3 linked regions of the Caenorhabditis elegans genome follow. The protein of the gene in region 1 purifies or fractionates together with the protein of each later gene. This does not show direct contact. Each region holds a gene or a part of one and is shown on either strand. Other genes may lie near its edges.

Region 1 (5,002 bases):
CTCTTCGATTATCACTTTTTTCTGGCTTCCCGGAGTGTTTACCCACACAACATGTTCAGTGCAATTGAGACCATTTTCGGAAAGAGAGAGAGATCAACATCAAAACAATAATTCTATTTAAAGAGAAATAGAGATTGTCGCAAATTAGAGGAAGTTAGAAAATCATTCTATTTATTTGGATCTTATCATTAAAAGGTAGAGGAGGTCATTCAAGGCCGAAAAAATACAAAAAAGAAATATCCTTGAGGAGAAATACGAATAAAAAGAAACGGATACCGTATTTCTTCTATTAATATGGCTGCAATACTATTTTTCGATGGTCTTCCCGCTTGCAATACTAATAGGGAGTGCAAGACTATTAGGGAGTGCAATACTAATTTTCAGAACATTTTTTTGACTTTGAGCTTACTAGTTTTTTTCTGAAAAAGCTCGAATCTTTATGTAAAAATTCAGAAAATTTGATTTTAATTGTAACATATAAGTTCAACAACTTCAATCTCGTAGAAATTTTGTGAAAAACTGTAGCAAAATAGGCAATTTTTTTTGTTGAAATCCTGAAATTAACGAGACGGGCCTGCAATAAAAAAGAGTAAACGCAAGACTATTATGGTGCGTCCATAGTCTGCGGAAAACGGGAATTTCCCGCGTGCGGAAGCGTCCATAGTCTGCGGAAAAACCGGAGTTCCTCGCTTTTTTTTCCTCAAAATTCAAAAAAGTAGGCGTGGCCAACCAATCAGCTGTTGTTTCTTGTTTTCCCATTGCTCAGCTTAAAATTTTACAGCCTCTAATTGGTTGAACACGCCCACTATTTTGAAATTGACCAATAACAAAGCGAGAAACTCCTTGTTTTTTTCCGCAGACTATGGACGCTTCCGCACGCGGGAATTTCCCGTTTTCCGCAGACTATGGACGCACCATTAGAGAGTGCAAGACTAATAGGGAGTGCCATACTAATTTTCGGAAGGTCTCCGAGGGGCAACACTAATAGGGAGTGCAAGTCTAATAGGGAGGCAATATTAATAGAAGATATACGGTATTCTATTAAAACTGGTATTGGTTACTGTTATGTTTGCAATAATTGAGAATAAAATAACAATATTAATAATATGAACTCGGCATTTAGAAAAAACCTGAACTTTAAAAATTTTTACTTTTTGAGAAGTTGTCAGATCTAAGACCTCTTTTTTTCTTCTGATACATGGAAGAACCCAATTTATGATAAAATAAGGGACAACTGGGATATGACCTGTCAAGTTTGACTTTAATTGTTGCCACGCGCTTTCAAGTTTTTAAAGTAATCATGCTTCGGAGTAATTCTAATTAAATTTTATTAATTAAGCAATGAAAAATTTATAAAATAATTATTACAAATGATACATTTAGTGCTTTCCTCCACGATGTCCTCCTCTGAAATGTGGACGACTCTTCCACAAATCGAAAAGTTCTTCCTTGGCCTTTTCGCTGAGATCTCCAAGAATTTCAAACTTCTGCTTGTTCAATGCTTCAATCTTTTCATGTGCCTTCTTTGCTTCATCAGACAATTTTGTTTCCTTCTCCTTGTATTCCTTATCTTCCTTTTCCTTCTTCTCCTTGAACTCCTTGAATTTCTTCAAGTTATCTCCATCAAGTTCCTTCTCAGCAAGAGCTTCAATCTTTTCTGGCTTCTCACTCCATGGAACTGATCTGTCCTTGAAAATAGCTTCGAATTTTGCAAGTTTGTCTTTTGGAAGTCCCTTAAGGAATGGAAGAGTTGGTCTTTTGTGAAGATTTTTGCGAGCATCCTTTGGAAGAGAATCGATAACTTCACGAGTCAATCCTTGTTCCTCATAACACTTATCTCCTTCTTTGTAATCCTTCCAGATATCATTAATCTTTTCCTGGGCATCTTCTGGAAGACTGTCCAAGAATGGTGGAATTCCACAAGGTGGAGATCTCTGGAAAAAATTCGTTGATAATTGAAAGGATCGCAAGACTGTAAAGGCCTAAAAGCTATTCTACACTTTCATCCGATAAAGATTTCGGAATCTTTCATTCTCAAGTTCAAAACATTTATTTTTCAATGTCTAGCTAGAAAAAACAAAAAACAGCGCATAAATTGAATAGAAATAAAACTTACTCTTCCTCCAGGCTTTGCCTGAACTGAAACAATAGCTAGTAGAATAGCGAAAAGAATCTTCATGGCTGAAGATGACTGACTTCAATATCAAGAGTTGGAGATTTTATACCCAATTTACCGTCTCGGCGAATACAATAACATTGGAGGCGTAGACATAGAATGAGATGAAGAATAATGATAAATTCATTTGGAACAGATCTTTTGATTTGGTCATCGTTGTGTGTGGGTTTGGAAAAGGTTGACAACTGAAGATGTGTGGAGTGTTTTTTTGAATTAAAACATTTTGAAGATAGTGGAAGAAGTCAGAAGAAAATAAATCATTTGAAAGAAACATCAAGTTTAAAAGTAGTTCCCTCATTTTAAATTGAACTTATCAAGAGACATCGGAGTCAGGTAAATTATATAGTTTCTAATCTGAAAGCAGAACATTTCCAACTGATCTTGCTCTCTTTTCCCGCTGTTTGGCGCACACTTGGCATTGGAAGATTGTGCTCAAAATGTCCAGGTTGTCTTTTCATCGAGCTTTTGCCAATATTCGGAAAAGATTGGCCAGAATTGATAACAGAGGCTTATCCAAATCCTGCACAAGCTTTACCAAAGACTTTCCAAGTTTTCAACCAGATTATTATCTTTTTGGGTTGATTTGCTAGGTTGGCGCCAAACGCCTGGAGATATTGGTTGACCTATAATATAAAAATTGATAACTAATAAGACACAAATTGAACATTTTTTGTTTACAGAAAAACATGTTTCGATTGATGCAAATTCTACAATCACATTGAACATTTGAGGATTAATTTCTAAATGCTGTTGGTGTATTTTATCTCGAATATTTCATTTTCCAGTTTCTCACCAAACCTTTTCCAAACCATTTCATTCTTTGTTCAAATCACATTCAATTCCCATTGTTTTAGCCAAATCAAAGCAATTTGCTGAGACTGAAACTTTTAATATAAATTTAACATTTTAACAATACAAAATATTTTATACTGTTCAATTCAGATATTCGACCAATTTTTCATGTTTCATTTTTAGAATATTTTGACAAAATCCCAAGTGGCGCTTCTCCAACAACCGTAGTTTTTAGACAGGGTAGAACATGTTATGTAAATGAAAATACATTAAAGTCAATTGTGTTTTTTGTTTCACTATATTTTTTAAAGTTTGTTCATTATCAATAACTTTTCAATGTCACTTTCAACACATTTTTCTTGTTGGCATACACTGCACGTTGATCATCAAAGTTCAATTGAATTCAAAAAATGATTCTTGTTTCAATTTCTATCAACTTGTTCTTTCTGTAGAACTGGTGATGATCTTCTTAGATGAAACTGAACTATTACAAAATTGACCACACAGTCATTCAAATCTTCTTTGGTCTTCGTCGAATCTTTAAAATGAATGACATCATCAGCAAGTTGTCATAATGAAAGTGAATAGCTGTTATCTCCTTTCTTTTGTCGAGTGTATTTTTCTTCGAACGGCAAAAAATGATATGTACCGAACGGAAAAATGGGCGGCGCCTTCCAAAACAACAACAACCGCTGAGATCAGCATCAAAATCGGAGAAAGGGGGTATGTTTGAGTACAGAGCACTGTTTGGCGAAGGGTTCGGTTTCTGAATGGTATAAAAGGACAAGAATTTGGATGAAAAGGACATCATTCAACAATGATTTCTAATATCTTTAAAATCTCAGCTGCTCTTCTTCTTTTGACTATTGTATCTGAAGCTAAGCCTTGCTTCGGAAGATGTGGAGGTGTAAGTTTTTCTTCTTTTTTTTTAATTTCCAAAAATTCTGACAATTTAAAAAAGCTTTTATTTTAGGTTTAATTTTTTGGTTTAATTTAAGGTTTAATTTTTTAAATGCTACATACATTTTACCAAAATTCAAATATTCGAAATTGAAAAATCCAACCTAAATTTAAATTTCGTTTTATGCTCAAGAAATTTCATAGAAGTTTCTACTTTAATCAGCCGCTAAGTGCAAATTAATGAACTGTATTTCCTATTTTAATAGCCATATAAAACTCCGTCTCAAACTACAAACATTCCAGCGTCCACCACCACCATGCGGACTTCCACCATTCCTTGAGGATCTTCCTTCTGATGTTCAAACCAAGATAACTGAAATCTGGAAAGATTACAAAGAAGGAGACAAGTGTTATGAAGAACAAGGATTAACTCGTGAAATCATGGAATCTCTTCCAAAGGATGTTCGTAAGAGCATTCACAAGAGACCACCACTTCCATTCCTTCGTGGACTTCCAAAGGACATCCTTGCCAAGTTTGATGCTATTTTCAAGGATAAGTCAATCCCATTCAGTGAGAAGCCAGAGAAGATTGATGCTCTCGCTCAAGAAGTTCTTACTGGAGATAACTTGAAGAAATTCCAAGAATTCAAAGAGAAAAAGGAGAAGGAAATGCAAGAGTACAAAGACAAGGTAAGAATAAAAAAAAAGATTTTTACTCAAAAGGATGTTGAATATCATTCTTTCAGGAATCGAAGCTCTCCGCAGCTGCCAAGGTAGCCAACGAGAAGCTTGAAGCTCTCGGAAAACAAAAGTTTGCAATCCTCGAAGAACTTGATGAGAACGTGAAGGATGAGCTTTTCGATTTGTGGAAGAGCCGTCCTCATGGACCACCAAGACATCACTAGACGATAATTTGACAGCGATTTTTGTAAATATCTATGACAGAATTTTATTCATTCCCGATTTCCCGATCACTTTTAATTTATATTGAAAAATACATATATTTAAGATTGAATAATAAAGATTTCTATAAAAACTTTTGTGTACAAATAATAATTGGTTCCCAAATCTAAAGATGGAATAGTAAAGATATTATTAAAATATACGTAAATTGGGCGAAAAACATTCTGAATT
Region 2 (6,709 bases), on another chromosome or scaffold:
TATACGGTTACATTGATATTCAAAGTGTGTGAAGCAAGGTAGAGAAAAAAGGTGAATAAGAGCAGAGGTGCAAAGGAAAGAGTTACAAATCAATTGTAGTGCAAATATTGCGTTTTTTGTTGGATGACCCTTATTAACCGTTCACACATCTTTCATTGAAGAAAGGAGAGTGATAAAGTAATATAGGGAGAAGAGAAGAAACATTCGAATATAAAATTGAAAACCATGTCGGTAGAAGAAGAACAACTTTAAAATTCATATACAACGGCAAAGTTTTTTCTAAAACACTTCTAAAAAACTAGACATTAAACAAAAAATTTTGTTTTTTTTTAATTCTGGGTAGATGAATGCGTTTTTCAAGTCAAGTCATAAATAGTATTTATTTATGAAGATAAAATATTTTTATTTTTCAAATTGTTGAATTTTGAGCAGGAGTAAAACTAATTTTCTAAATATTATTGTAACTTCAGTTTTAAATTACATTTTCTCAAGTATCAATTTTTCCTATAATAAAAAGAAAGGGTATAGAACTCTACTAGCCATTTGGATAAAATATGGAATACAATATAATTATAGTAATTAGAACGATGTATACGAGCATAATTAGGCGAAAGGCGGCCCATACAACTCGCAAAATATAGTTCTTACTGTTCTCCGAAGATGCGCGCCGTCGACAAGGTAATACCGACTGAGGCTGTTCAGATATGCCTAACAATGCCCTCACGACATTTTCGAGATCGCATAATTGTCGTCGAGAGCGGTAATCCTGGGAATCTGTGGGACATACGGAAGGTAAAAAGATTGAAGACGTGAGACGAGATGGTGACACAAGAAAGAGAAAAATGAGAGCAGGTGTACATTTGACTGACACTAGTGCTCCGTTGACAACCTGTGACTGAGGATTACCTTATTTCACAAAAAGAACACACAAAAACCCAGTGAGAAATGATCGTCTCAGTTCATTGTTCTGACACCTTTCCGTGCGCGAAATTGGTTGGATTAACGTCCAGTGAGGAACGTATTGAAGATGAAACGAACGTGCTAATTAAATGAACGATGAGGATGATGATGGGTGCCGTTTGCCATCTATTAGGCATGGATTACCTGGCTTAACGTTCTCGAATTGCTTGAATCGACAGCCACTGTGCAAAGGGTAATTGTATACACTTCTAACACGGGAACACCGGAGACAAAACGTACTGCTAAAACTGAGACTAACACGCCTATTGTTCTGGTTTCGTACTTCGACTGCTAGTAGTCAGCGCGTTCGTCTCATTCTCATTGTCCGGATCCCCATGTTGACAGGAACCAAAAGTATTAGACTTTTGTTTTTTAATAAAAAAATGAAACGGTAAATCATGAATCATTCCTCAAATATTTTTCAGCCACCAGCTTCCATTAAGTCAATTTTGACAATTTTTCCAAAAAAATATTTGGTGTAAGAGCAAAAAAAAAGAAAGTGATATCACAAGAGATTAATTGAAAAATTCCTGAAGCACACTCCTGTGAACAAGCTAAAGTTTTTTGGTCGCTCACAATGAAGCGGACATAAATCATTATCAGACTAGAGGATTAAAAGTTTGTAATGTTGCGGTAAAATCTTTAAACTATATAAGCATAATCAGAGAAGTGCAAATTTAGTTAATTCAAAATGTTAGATCATAAATTCAGTTATTCAATGTGACCGTATTCATATTAATTTGGAGCCGATTTTCTCATAAGCTGTTGAAAATATCTATTCACCACCGGGCAGATCGTAAACCATCTGATTGAATACAGATTTCCTTATGTAATCTATCCGTATTGTGCAATACTTTTGACGCGACAACGAGGGCAAGAAATGGCACTGTGTGCAGCTGCGCGCGTTGAAGCAGATGCTTGTAACGACATAAAAGAGCTCCTGCGTTGAAGAGATGGCACACAAATGGGGGCACGATTCCATCACATATCATCAAATTGAGAAGAGTCAAGGAATGGACAAGGACGTTTGGACAGAAATCAGATTTGGATAGCGTAGATTTCGAGTAAAAAACCCCGCGTCAAAAAAGTTTCCTCAGCAAAAAAGAGAAAGTTGTGCGTATGGGTAGGGTCAAGCACGAGGCAAGCCCTGTTGACCAAACATATAAAGTGAGAGGCGAAAAATGTGGGGAAGGACGGAGATGGTCCTATTTGGTCGGCTCAACCTCATAAAGTTGCGTCACCGTACCTGTGGCCAGGTGTGTGCAGGATGGAGCAAACGAGGAGGCAACGATTGGAAGATAAGCCTAATGACTGGGTGTTCAGACGTACAATGCGGGTCCGTTTGGAACAATTACAATTTTTCTTGGTCAATTCAAGACGGATGGTGATATTTATAAGGATGAAAGAAGAACGGATGACGAGAGCTAATCAGAAATGGACATGCGATACGTTACGGCTACGAAGAGAGAGGAGGAGGAAAATGGCATGCAACATTTGAGCAGTCTAATAAAGCCGAACACAGATGAAGAACGAAGCGGTGGCCAATATTCAATCTGCATAATAAATAAGCGATCCGTACAAACAAAGACGTTTCCTTCGTGGTCTTCCGTCCTTCCGACACTCCCTACGGACCATGAACCGACCGACATAAGAAGGCCAGCTCCCACGGGAGCTTTTGGTATGGTGTCTCGAATGAATTTTGCATATAAATAGAAGAAACCGACCGAAACATATTGAAAACGGAGATTCGATTTATTTTCCATCTTATCTTTTATTGAGTCAGTTCAGAGGGGTTTCAATTGTCACTTTGACACCTTATTAGCAACCGAACAAAGAGTGCCGGATTTGCTAAGTGAGTGTAAAAACAAGATTATAAAAACAGTGGGCCTTCTTATTCTAGTCTTTTGAATGTTTTGATTGACGTAAGATCTTGGGCCACTTTGTTTCTTTTGAGAATTGCGAAGACGAACATTGTTGAGTAAAATTTAGTAGGGACGAAATTTTTTGAGAATAACAAAACATTTTATGTGCGCCAAAACTTTTTTCGATTTTTTGGTTCTTCAAAAAACTGAAAAACGGAAATTTTCGCTTTTGAGAAAACTGCAAAAACAAATTCTGAAAACACTCCAAAATCGGTATTTTTATACAGAATGCAATATTTTTATTACTGATGACGCCCTATTTCATACAAACAACATACATAAATTGCACTTTTTCAAACTGGACCCTAATTTTTTTTCGATTTTTTGGGTTTTTCGGCTTTTTGACCCACACCGCAAAATTGAAAAACCGAAAAACGTGAAGAACGGAAAACAACATTTTTTGTTAAGATTTAGGTTATTTAGAGAAAAAACTCGGTTTTTCGAAAAAAAAAAACTAGCAGACAATTCATATAATACCTAAAAACCAGGATGTTTTCGAGTTAAGTGAATGTTTCAAAATAAGGACGTCACTCTGAAGTCGTACGAAAATTTTTTTTGAAACACCTATCTCTGTACACATATGAGTAGTCACAACATTTGTGGCTTCGTACACCTTTGAAGTGTTTTTGAATGCACAAACATGACGCCGCTTTTTTTGGATTTGTGCCAAGAAGCAGAATAAGTTTTTCAGGCAAATACAAAAGAAAACATCTCGTTTTCTGTGTACAAAACTACATATATCAGGAAACGAGATTTAGTAAAACATTTTATAAGACTAAAAGAATTGTTTAGTTACATAGGAAAATTTTTTTAATGCCTCGAAAAACTTCCGGGCACGCGTTCGAAACTGGCATTAAAAAAAGTCTCACCTCTATGTGTTTATCAATAAGCCGGGACTAAAAAATGGGTGCGCCAAATTGAAATTTCGTTTTCGATTCTAATCACAAGTTCGGTTCAATACACGTTGTCGTTCTGAAAATCGAAAGTAACTTTTGCAACATATACGTTCAAGACATGAAATGGAGCGGAAAACTTCAAAAAGGGGTGTCCTTTTGAAACTTGGCAAAAAGCGATTTGTATCAGTTGACAGACTAATTTACGATAATGTACATATTGAAGAAACTTTCAAATTGGAACTTCTGAGATCTGATGAATATAGGTTTTTCAAAAAAGAATAAAAAAGCTAGCAATGTGTATAGTTTTGATGTGAAAATAAATATCGTAAGAGAAAAAGAAACACTGTCAGTTGCATACCTCATAAATATAATCAAGGAGGTATTGAAATTGCCGAAAAAACGGTTATCAGAGGAAAGAGATAGCAAGTACGAAATGAAGAATGCAACCTGGAAAATTCGCTTTCTCTTTTGTTGCATCCCTCCTTGTTGATAACACACTATGAATGTGGTTTTGACAAGAAAAACATACGCACACAGTTTGAAGCATTTTTTTTTCTTGTCACCAACCATTCGGATGAATTATACCCGAAAATGTGTGTACACTCGTTGGAGGATAGGGGAAAAAGAGAAAATGGTCAAGGTAGGTAAACAGAAAGCTTTCATAAACGTTTTTCTTACCATTTTTTTGCCTTTTCTTGGGCATAAAAGTTAGAGTTACTACAATGAATGTCAGTGTGGTTTGTACTATTTTCTGCATACGCAGAGGGAAATCAAAAATATCAATAGAGCGAAGAAAAGCGGTGAGTTTCAAAAAGGCTCTTCCCATGAAATATAACCCCCATTGTAATTAAAATTCTGAAAAAAAAACCAGAGTGCAATGAGTTTTTGAATGCGCCGTCTATATGCGTGGCAAGGGAATACAGCTATTTTCATTTTATCATATGTATATTTTCATATCTATATGAAGTTTGCAAATATATAAAACAAATTTTTTACTAATTTCGAAGAGCACATTTAAAAAAGTTGAAATTTAAACGAAGATATTAGATTGCAAATATCAATCTGTAGTTTTGTTTGATTTTGAAGTTATTCAAAACATAAAACGGTAATGGATTTTCAAAAGAAATAAAATAGAGTCTAACAAAACAGAAAATTAGGATTTCCAACAATTTTTGCTTTTGATAAGACACGCTAGATGTTGTTGATCATAAAGCCACGGTAATCATTGTCCTGGCCAAATGTAGAACTAATTAAATTTTGCGACAAAGTCCCTGTTGTCATAAAAATGTGATTTTTCCAGTCCTACGTTATTTAGAATTTAACACGATCCGTCCTGCTATTCAAGGAAAAATAAAATCAGGGCGTTTCTTGTTAGTGGTTTCTCGGTATGTGTGTCCAATACACTAATTACTCGATGGTGATTGAAATCAAATATCAAGACAGGAAAGAGGACACGAGTAACTGATAAAGGTCAAATGCACATTAAACTTAACGCACAAAAAGTTAGGCAATGTCGTAGAAAGTGGTGTGTGAGGAGATAGAATGGTGAGTCAGGAACGGTAGAGGGTTTTCTATTCGAAAGAATAAAAATCTGTTTTCTAGTAAAATTGAAAAGAGTGAGAGATTGAGAGAAAAATAATGGAATAAAATCGGAATGGTGTTTACATCATTTCCATATTAAAATTTTGAATTGGAAATTTAAAATACAAACTACTGGTACATATAGGAATATGAGATACTTTGAATTTTCAAATTTACAGTTTAGATATAACTGCATAATAATACCTTTTGAAAAAGATTCTTATACTTCTTCAAGGTCATCAATTAACAGAAACAAAACAAAAAAAAAGATTGCGTGGTTCAAAGATATAGTTTCATATTTCTTGCAATTGCATTCAAAAAGCAAGCAAAATGACCTTCCGAGTGAAGCGAGTAAAAAACGAGGACCAAGCCAGTTTGACCAAATGTCTCACTATTATATGATCCGATTCGTAGACTGCAACGATGAGAATAATAATTGTAGAGTATCAAATGAATAGTGGGGCAATTTTGAAAGAAGAAAAGTGGAATGAGAGGAAAATAGCCAATGGTCACAATGGCTAAAAACGACCACATGAGGCTCACGTCCCTGTATTGACCACTAATGAAGATAATTTAAGTGAAACGTTTAAATAATATGATTTGGTCGGTTCACAATAATAAAAAATTAATTTCTCGTTGTATTTAGTTAACTAATGGAATTACGCTCATAATTTTTCCGATCCTGCGGAACTTCAGATAAATAATTTTTTGTCATATTATGACATGTGCATGCAGTACAGAATAAAAATGCAAGATTATTACAATTTGGCAATTTGTTTCGAATATTTACTTCACTGGAGAAGTATGTTGTTCAATTACTACTAATTATCAAAATTAAAACATTCTTAGGAAACGAAAAATTGACTACCAAAAATAATAATGAACTAAGAAAATTTTTGAAAACAATGAGCTATATCCATATCCATCGGAGCCAATGTTGACACTACAACCTGTCGAGAAAACAAAGTGAAAAGTGGATATGCATGCAGGAGGTGTCCGGTTTCGAAACCGATTGAATTATCCTAATGAATTTGGCAGCGAAATACAATAACGTAAAGAAGCAAAAGTGATGGAACAGAACGTAGTGTTTTGCTCCGGCCGGCATTGACATGGTCAGTGCACGCTAAGCCAGATGACAAATAAGAATGTCATGGTTACGGCGGGTTACGAACCCGGGTCACAGTTGAAATGTTTCTCAACAAGCGGAGACGTTTTATGGATGTCGCATTCTTCTGGATTCACACTTTTGAATTCTTAGAAAATTGAAAGTTTAGAAGAAGTATCGAAAGTAAAACGCAACCTTCTTTTGTTGATACTTTCAAATAAACAGAAGAAGATTTGAGATTTATG
Region 3 (8,111 bases), 7.3 Mb from region 1:
GACATATCAAGGTGGTACTGGAGAAAGATATGCTGCAGCAAGACCCAAAGATGGAATTGATCGTCCAACTGATTCTCTTGATTCTCAAACTATCAATCGTTCGACATATCAGGGAGGTACTGGAGAAAGATATGCTGCAGCAAGACCCAAAGATGGAATTGATCGTCCAACTGATTCTCTTGATTCTCAAACTATCAATCGTTCGACATATCAGGGAGGTACTGGAGAAAGATATGCTGCAGCAAGACCCAAAGATGGAATTGATCGTCCAACTGATTCTCTTGATTCTCAAACTATCAATCGTTCGACATATCAGGGAGGTACTGGAGAAAGATATGCTGCAGCAAGACCCAAAGATGGAATTGATCGTCCAACTGATTCTCTTGATTCTCAAACTATCAATCGTTCGACATATCAGGGAGGTACTGGAGAAAGATATGCTGCAGCAAGACCCAAAGATGGAATTGATCGTCCAACTGATTCTCTTGATTCTCAAACTATCAATCGTTCGACATATCAAGGTGGTACTGGAGAAAGATATGCTGCAGCAAGACCCAAAGATGGAATTGATCGTCCAACTGATTCTCTTGATTCCCAAACTATCAATCGTTCGACATATCAAGGTGGAGTTGGTGATAGGTCAAATATAATCAAGCATGGGACGACTCTTGAATTCGGATCAGGGAAAGTGACAGATCAATCCGTATCAAGGTGAGTTTATTTGTGATGTACTTTGAAACAATTCCCTAATTCTGCAATTCTCCGAATTATTTTCAGATTGACATACACCCAATTTCCCATCGAACGAATGTCATTGTCAGTTCCAGTGGAAAAGTGGATCACTGCAGGAATGTCGTTTCCAACGGAGTACCTGACTGAACAAAAAAGCTCATTCCGTCCGAAACCGGCCAACTCAGAGTGCCCAGCTGTTCGTATAGTGAGCTCAAAGAAAAGAGCACCAAATCAGCACATGTACTTGTATTAGATTGTCTTTCTTTTTTTTAACTTGTGAATAAAAGTGTACTCATGAATTTGGAATATTTATTTAAACTGAGAAAATGAAAATGTCAAACTGGAAGTTTTGTACGCTTTGGCAAAATGAAAGACATTGGATAAAATTGCACTGGAAACTGAAGAAAGACAAAAACAAAAGCGAATTTGTAAACCCGAGGTGCATTAATTTCAAAACAATATAAAAGCATAATGAGTTACCGGTAATATCTAGGTGTCTCTGGTGTTTTCTTCCGGTTTAGAAGTTGTGTAATACTGTACGTTGTGCTCTTGAGGTCTGTTGAGTTCCCTATAAAATCTCCACTGCTGGTAATAACAATACATAATTAGAAAACATGAGAACATGAGAAACATCTGAATAGCTCCCAGAACCACTGTGAGCATACACGTGACGTCATCAATAAGACAATGCTTCACACTTGTCCAAAGATTTGGAGAATGCTTCACAACGATCACATCTCCTTCGTGGAACTCTCCGTTGTCATTGAACTCGAAGTCTGACTTGGGAGCTGGGAAGTCGAATTGCTTTGGTGAAGGAGGATTCAGAAGTGTCAATTTGTGTCCAGTTACTTTATATACATCACTTGTCAATTGCAGCTCCCTCGGCTCCCCGGCCAGAGACCTTCGGACCATACGATGTCGTGGAAGATCCAGTGATAAGGGGAGGGAATGAACGTTGGTCTCCTCCTCAGGAAGCATCATGTCTTGATTACATTTTGGCATGCATCCAACTGTACATGTCTCCATCATTGCATGGTACACCACTTCAGTCTAAAAAAATGTTACTTTAGACTTTGTATCATTTTTAGACTTTAAAACTTTAAGCGAGAAGTTAAAGTTTTTTCAGAACAAAAAAATTTGGCCGGAAATTCTACATTTCTTTTTAGAAAAGTCATGGCGAAAGAAATCACAACTTCTCAAGGAATGTTAAACGGAAAGTTCAAATTTTCCGAGAGACACATTCTAGCAGAAACTTTAAATTGAGTCAGAAGCGCCAAAAAAACAATTTTTACTGTGATATCAGGTCATTACCTCAGATTTTCTGTATGTTAAAGCAAAATCCCACAAAAACCCCAACGTAAAATAAACACAAACCTGTCGTCTAAATCCAGAAAAACTAATCTTCAATTTGACATAGTTATCTGTCTTCCGAATTTCTTTCACAATATCCCGCCGGAGAACACAACTGAAATAGGTCAAACATTTACGGTTAGGTATTTTTCCTGTCAGCTGACCCATCCTCATCGATGATGCGTAACACGCGACCCGTCTGAACATCCTTCGCCACTAAATTAGTAACTGTAAAATCTTCAGCCGAGTTCTTAACGGCAAGCATAATCCATCCATAGTCACCAATGTGAACTGTATCGGCTTCTGTTGAATCTAATCCGAGGATTTTCAGAGAGAATTTAGGGTTTGTTTGGGCAGGTGGGGCTGTGACAACGACAACATCTGACATTACTTGATTTGTCTTATTATTCTCACGAACATTCATTTGAACAGATAGGAATTGCTCTTCCGATGGCATACTTTTGTGAAGACGGCAGTTGACCTGAAAAATTGTAAATTTTTCACTTTATTCTGCTTGTTGAAAAAATACACGCCAGACACCTGCCGGGTCTGCAATCACCGAAGTTTACGGCTTAATGTTTTCATAGAAAGCTTCGAATATTGGAATAGTCTTCATCCTAATGTAAGAAGAATTCAGTCTAAGCCTAAGCATACGCCTACGCCTAAGCCAAAGCCTAAGCATGTTTCAATGGCCTACCTGCAAAACTTTGTCCCTTATAGTCACCAAACTCGTGCTCCCTTCCTTCACATGCACCATACCCCGATATGTAGAATCTTTGGATTTCTGCAACTTTCAATTATTCTGATAATTCTCAAAAATCCTGAAAACTTACGTTAGGATCAAGTCCACACTTTTTAAAGTCAAACTTTGACGAAAAATCGTAGTTCCCCTCGTAATCTTCTTGACACATTATTTTCTTTGACTTTTTAGTCATCATTTTTCCGCTGAAGCGTACATAATTTTGGAAAAATTTTTTTTTGGGGTAAGCTTACATGAACATTCTCATCGAGCTAGCTTTGACTTCCAGATTGTCCTCGCGGCATTTTAGAGAGACTGAAAATTTTCAAATTTTCCACGAGTTTTCAGATGAAAAATTTAAGAAAATACCATTGTTCATCGAAAAAATTACTCACAATTAACACAATCATCCAAATCACCATGAAACAAATTCGGCTTCATTGATTCCAGCGGGCTTCTTCCTAGCATTCTAGCAGATGCCCACATTAAGTTACATTCGTTGGTTGAGTTGTCATAGGTATAGGATCTGAAAAAAATTTCAGCTTTTACAGATAATAGTTTAAGCCTTCAACAAACCTGCAAACATCTGAAATGCGACTTCTTATCACACACATTTGTTCACATTCATCAAAACTTCCAACATTTTGAATCAACTGATCACTGACCGATTTCAGCCCACCCCCGTTGACACGCATAAATGTACACGCTGATGACGTCATCGCATCTGAAAATTTCGGAATTTTTTGTGCAAAAAAAATTGACCTACAATCAACGCAATTGTTTTCATAAAGATCCACAGAATAGCTTGCTTTGAAGTATAGTCTTGGATTGTACACAGAGTTAAGGGATACTCTGGATAACTGGCATAACGAGGTGTCATTGTTGTGCAGAGCAGCACGACAAGATGACCTGAGAAAAAAATTGACTGAAATTTAAAATAATGTCTTGAAAAGATTTTTAATTTTTTGAATATTTCCAGAATATTATTTAAAAAACAGTAAAATTTTTTAACGCATCGAAGTTTAACAAAACAGAACACACTTTTTTTTTTAAGTTTTTAATTCCAAAATGAAAAGTTTTATGTATGTAGGAACTTTTTTTACATTTATTTTGAAAAATAAAATTTGATGATAAGTTTTCGATCAGAAAATTTCAGATTTTTTACAAAGAAAATTCTTCAATAGACTTCAAATTGTTTCCATCATCACAACATATAATTTTAAAATTCAGAAATTATTTTGAATTTAAAAATATGTTATAAAACTGCATCGAACTCAAAAAATATTTTAAACTAATTTTCTAGAAAAAAAACGAAAAAATAATTTTTCAACTTTATCCCTTTTTCACTTTTTGCGGTTTTTAAGGTATATTATTAAAAACTAACTCTTTCTGACACTGTGACAAGCATTCTTCCATCGAAATCGAAAATGTCTTGATAATAAACGATGAGTTGACCAACGACCTCCCTGGGAACTTTTCAAACGCAAAACTTCTCTTCAAACATTTATCTGAAATTAAAGGGGTGAAAGTCAAAATGACCACCTCGCCGTCAATTACTCACTTTCCAAACAAGTTTTCGTTCCTACCGTCCGAGATCCAGATGTCGTTAAGACGGGTGACTTCGAGTGAAGATGGCAATTGAAACCACCGTTCTTCTTTTCAATGGGTTCGGCGTTCGAGAAAGTGAAATGCGTGCAGTTTGGTACCTGACGAGAGTTTTTCGGTCGTTTAGTGAAATTATATTAGCCAGGGAATTAGCTACTAGTTGCTATATGGCTTCCAAGGAGGCTAGATCCCAGCTCCCTTTAAGTTGAACTAGAATGCCGGCACATCCCGCGAAACGTCAGCCGCAAGACAAAAAAGCTTACCGATGAGCAAAACCTGGTGCATTGTGATAGACTATCCACAGATTTTCGAATAATAAGACTTGCAGTGGAGTTTACGGATTTCAAAGTCTCCAAGATAAAAGTGATCTCACATGGTGATACTGTAGACGGGAGTGTTGACAGAATAAGAATCAGGAGAAAGGGATATTTCATGGCATCACCTGGAAAAAAAAGAGGAAGTTGTAAGGAAAAAGCTTGGATATGGAAAAGTACGGAAAGACGGGAAATGTCTGTTTGTTAGTGTTTGTAGGATTTCCATTTATTTCTCTATTTCTAGATTTATGCAGACCTAGAAAAAGAAAACTGAACAAGTTTTAGTTCTGAGGAAGACCCTAGGCGGCATTTATGAGTCTTCCTGGAATAGTTTAAAGTTCGACAGAAAGATGAAAACGTTCGACAAAAGTATGACAAACTTCTACAGAAGGTTGAGGCGTAATACGATGAATTGCTCTTGCAATTGGACAACGTTTGACAGAAAGCTGTCAAAGTTTGAGTGGTCAGAAATGGAAAAACTTTCTACAGAAATATCACAAAGTTTGACAAAAAATAGGAAAACGTTTGGCAAAGTTATCACAACGTTCGAACAAAAACTGAGCTAATGGAACTCTTTTTGAAAATTCAAACGTAAAAAACCTCAAAAAGTCAAGCTATTTCGAAGATGTATGCAAAGTGAAACGGAACTTGGACAGGAAAAGTTTAAAGTTGCATTCGTTCCGGCAGGTTAATTAATGGACACCAGCAGTCGGAAGGGCGGTGAGGAGGGTAGGCGCATCGTCGGTTTAAACATGTTATGGGGTTACAAACGACTAGCATGAGTTATTCGAAATGGAGAGAAACGGGCGTTCTAATTGTTTGTAGAGTTTGGATTAAAATTTTTTTTTGACTTCAAAATTTCCAAAAAAAAAAAATTTGGAACTTCAAATTTTAAAAATCCTCGTAAATCTACACAAAACTCAGTACGTCTAAATGAAAATTTTTAGATATATATAAAAAATGGTAAACCTGCAAGAAACCACCTGAATCTACACAACCGTCATAAACCTTCAGAAATTCTGTAAATATACAAAATTGGTAGCATCTACATTAACACTTCGTATATCTACAAGGCGCCACGTAAATCCACACAAAATCTCGTATATAACAACACAGCTCAGTAAATCTACACAAAACACCAAAAAATTTGTTTTTAACTCCTATATTCATGGTTTAATGACATACCAGGTAAGTGGTTTGGCTTCTACCTACCACCCCAAAACGGGAAAACAGTAGACATATATCTATCGTTTCGGCGGTAAGCAAACATGCCGGACACTAAATGACCAGCAGCGGCCAGCCGACGATAATAGCAGGCCGCCGCCTGAGAGACGCAAACATACTGGAGAATCAAAAGGGCACAGAATCGAAAGTGACGGTTACACGGAAGTAGGTGAAAGTTTTGTCCAACTGACGCTGTGAAGCTTCATGGGATTCAGGTCACATATCCCAGCTGGGCAACCTGTTGATAGAATTGTGCAAAAAAGGTTCTCCCCGGCCGGGAATTGAACCCGGGTCTCGCATGTGACAGACGCGGATACTCACCACTATACTACCGAGGACACGGGAATGCAGTGTAATCGGTGCCATTAAAAAAAAGGAGAGAAATGAAAGAGATAGCGAGAGGCGAAAGTGGCAGGCAGCTGAACAAGCACAATGAGGAGACGGCTGGCAGTATAAGGGAGTACACAAAATTCAAACTCCTTAAATATGCAAGAAGGCCCTAAAATCTACTAAAAATCTAGCAAATTTACATGAACACACGTATATCTACAAAAATATCGTAATAATAAACAGAAATCTCGTAAATCTACACAAACCCTTGTAATCGACAATGAAAACTACAAAAAAAATTCAAAAACCTATTCAAAAGACCACGTAAATACACATAAAAATTTATAAATCTACACAAAATTCTGTTGGTCAACTTGTAAATCTACATCAAGCTTTGTAAATCTACACTAAACTGACGTAAATCTACACAAAACATGAACATTTGAATAATATTCTATGCATATTTCGATTTCTTCTGCATATTTTGTTTTCACTAATCTCAATTCAACACACATTATTCTCGGGAATATATCTACGCCCCTCTTGACTCTCTCTCTGCATCTCTTCAAATCTCACACACACTCTATCACAGCGTCCAGCAGAGAACCAATTGGTGGATTTATGAAACAATAAAGATGTGCGCGCAAAAAAAAAAACAACAAAAACGATGAGACAATCCGAAAAGAAAGTGACAAGCTGTTGAAGAGAGATTATCCGACGGGCGGTGGCGGAAAAGGTTCCGGATCAACTGGAATTATCTGATCCGGTGATTCGCTTGATTGGAAAACATTGAAAAAAGAATCAAGTAGGTTATGAGAATAGGTGTCCTGGAAATAATGTATATTTGCCACTAGACTACGAAAAAAACCATACCGTAAATCTACAAATATCCTCGAAAATATACAATCACTTCGGTAAACGCAGAACTTTGTAAATATTTCTGATGGTGAGCTCAGGTAAATCTACAATAAACCTTGTAAATCTACAAAAAATCTTTTAAAAAAGTACACAAAACTACGTAAATCTACATAATATCCATGTAAATCTACACCTATGTATATTCGTAAATCTACACAATATCTTGTAAATAAACCCAAAATCGCGTAAATCTACACTAAATCGAACGTATGTGGTAAATTTGGACGCATATCTCGTAAATCTACACTGAATCTCGTAAATCAAATTGAAACATGATTTTTTTGTTCAGTTCCTGAAAACTCTGTAGTTAAATAAATTCCAGAATGATTCCGAAAATAAAATCCAGAATGATTTTCCAAAAATCCCTAACATAAGCCCCGACCCTCCCCCCAAATATTTAACACTCTACAAAAAAACTACTTTTGGAGCACTAAAACTCCATGAAAACCCAATCAGAAAAAATTATACGATAGGAAATCAAGCCCTCCAGAACAATGAAAATGCATATCGAAAGGGACCTGTCTGAATAAACAATCGGAACGGCGAATAATGTGTTGAAGTAGTGTCCTCCTCCCCTCATCTAACAACTACTACAACTCTCATTGAAGGGACAATTATCGGCTCCCCCCGTCGGCCCCCGTCGGTTAATTGATCCCACTACTCCCCCCGACTGGCACCAATAAGGTTGTTATGTTGGGTGGTTTCGACAACAATTGACAGTTATGCTAATGGAGTGAAAGTTATAGAGAAATTAGACATAGAGAGTAGAAGGCTCCAAGTGCTTTTACCTCGCGGAAAATTTTCCTTTTAGGTAAAAGTCAAGCCGAACCAAAAATTCTCAAAATTTCAGCTTTCAGTGTCGTGAAATATAATGCCTGGTACTGTGATTGCGTACTTTC

The links.
Region 2: the proteins of F57H12.6 (region 1) and dgn-1 fractionate together in Caenorhabditis elegans (co-fractionation; one large-scale study listed by BioGRID). This does not show direct contact.
Region 3: the proteins of F57H12.6 (region 1) and cutl-28 fractionate together in Caenorhabditis elegans (co-fractionation; one large-scale study listed by BioGRID). This does not show direct contact.

The regions. Positions count from the first base shown.
Region 1 is NC_003282.8:7,974,118-7,979,119, forward strand, and holds F57H12.6 (DUF148 domain-containing protein), read right to left. Parts: upstream 2,194-5,002; 5' UTR 2,180-2,193; coding exon 2,117-2,179; intron 1,935-2,116; coding exon 1,380-1,934; 3' UTR 1,337-1,379; downstream 1-1,336. Other genes in the region: ora-1 (Onchocerca Related Antigen family), read left to right, coding at 3,786-3,875, 4,172-4,558, 4,615-4,773.
Region 2 is NC_003284.9:10,925,145-10,931,853, forward strand, and holds the start of dgn-1 (Dystroglycan 1), read right to left. Parts: upstream 3,855-6,709; 5' UTR 3,752-3,854; intron 2,676-3,751; exon of another isoform or gene 2,471-2,675; intron 1-2,470.
Region 3 is NC_003282.8:681,254-689,364, reverse strand, and holds cutl-28 (CUTiclin-Like), read right to left. Parts: upstream 4,869-8,111; 5' UTR 4,861-4,868; coding exon 4,690-4,860; intron 4,528-4,689; coding exon 4,383-4,527; intron 4,330-4,382; coding exon 4,206-4,329; intron 3,731-4,205; coding exon 3,588-3,730; intron 3,546-3,587; coding exon 3,398-3,545; intron 3,348-3,397; coding exon 3,217-3,347; intron 3,137-3,216; coding exon 3,076-3,136; intron 3,028-3,075; coding exon 2,916-3,027; intron 2,867-2,915; coding exon 2,780-2,866; intron 2,564-2,779; coding exon 2,247-2,563; intron 2,198-2,246; coding exon 2,107-2,197; intron 1,783-2,106; coding exon 1,222-1,782; 3' UTR 1,030-1,221; downstream 1-1,029.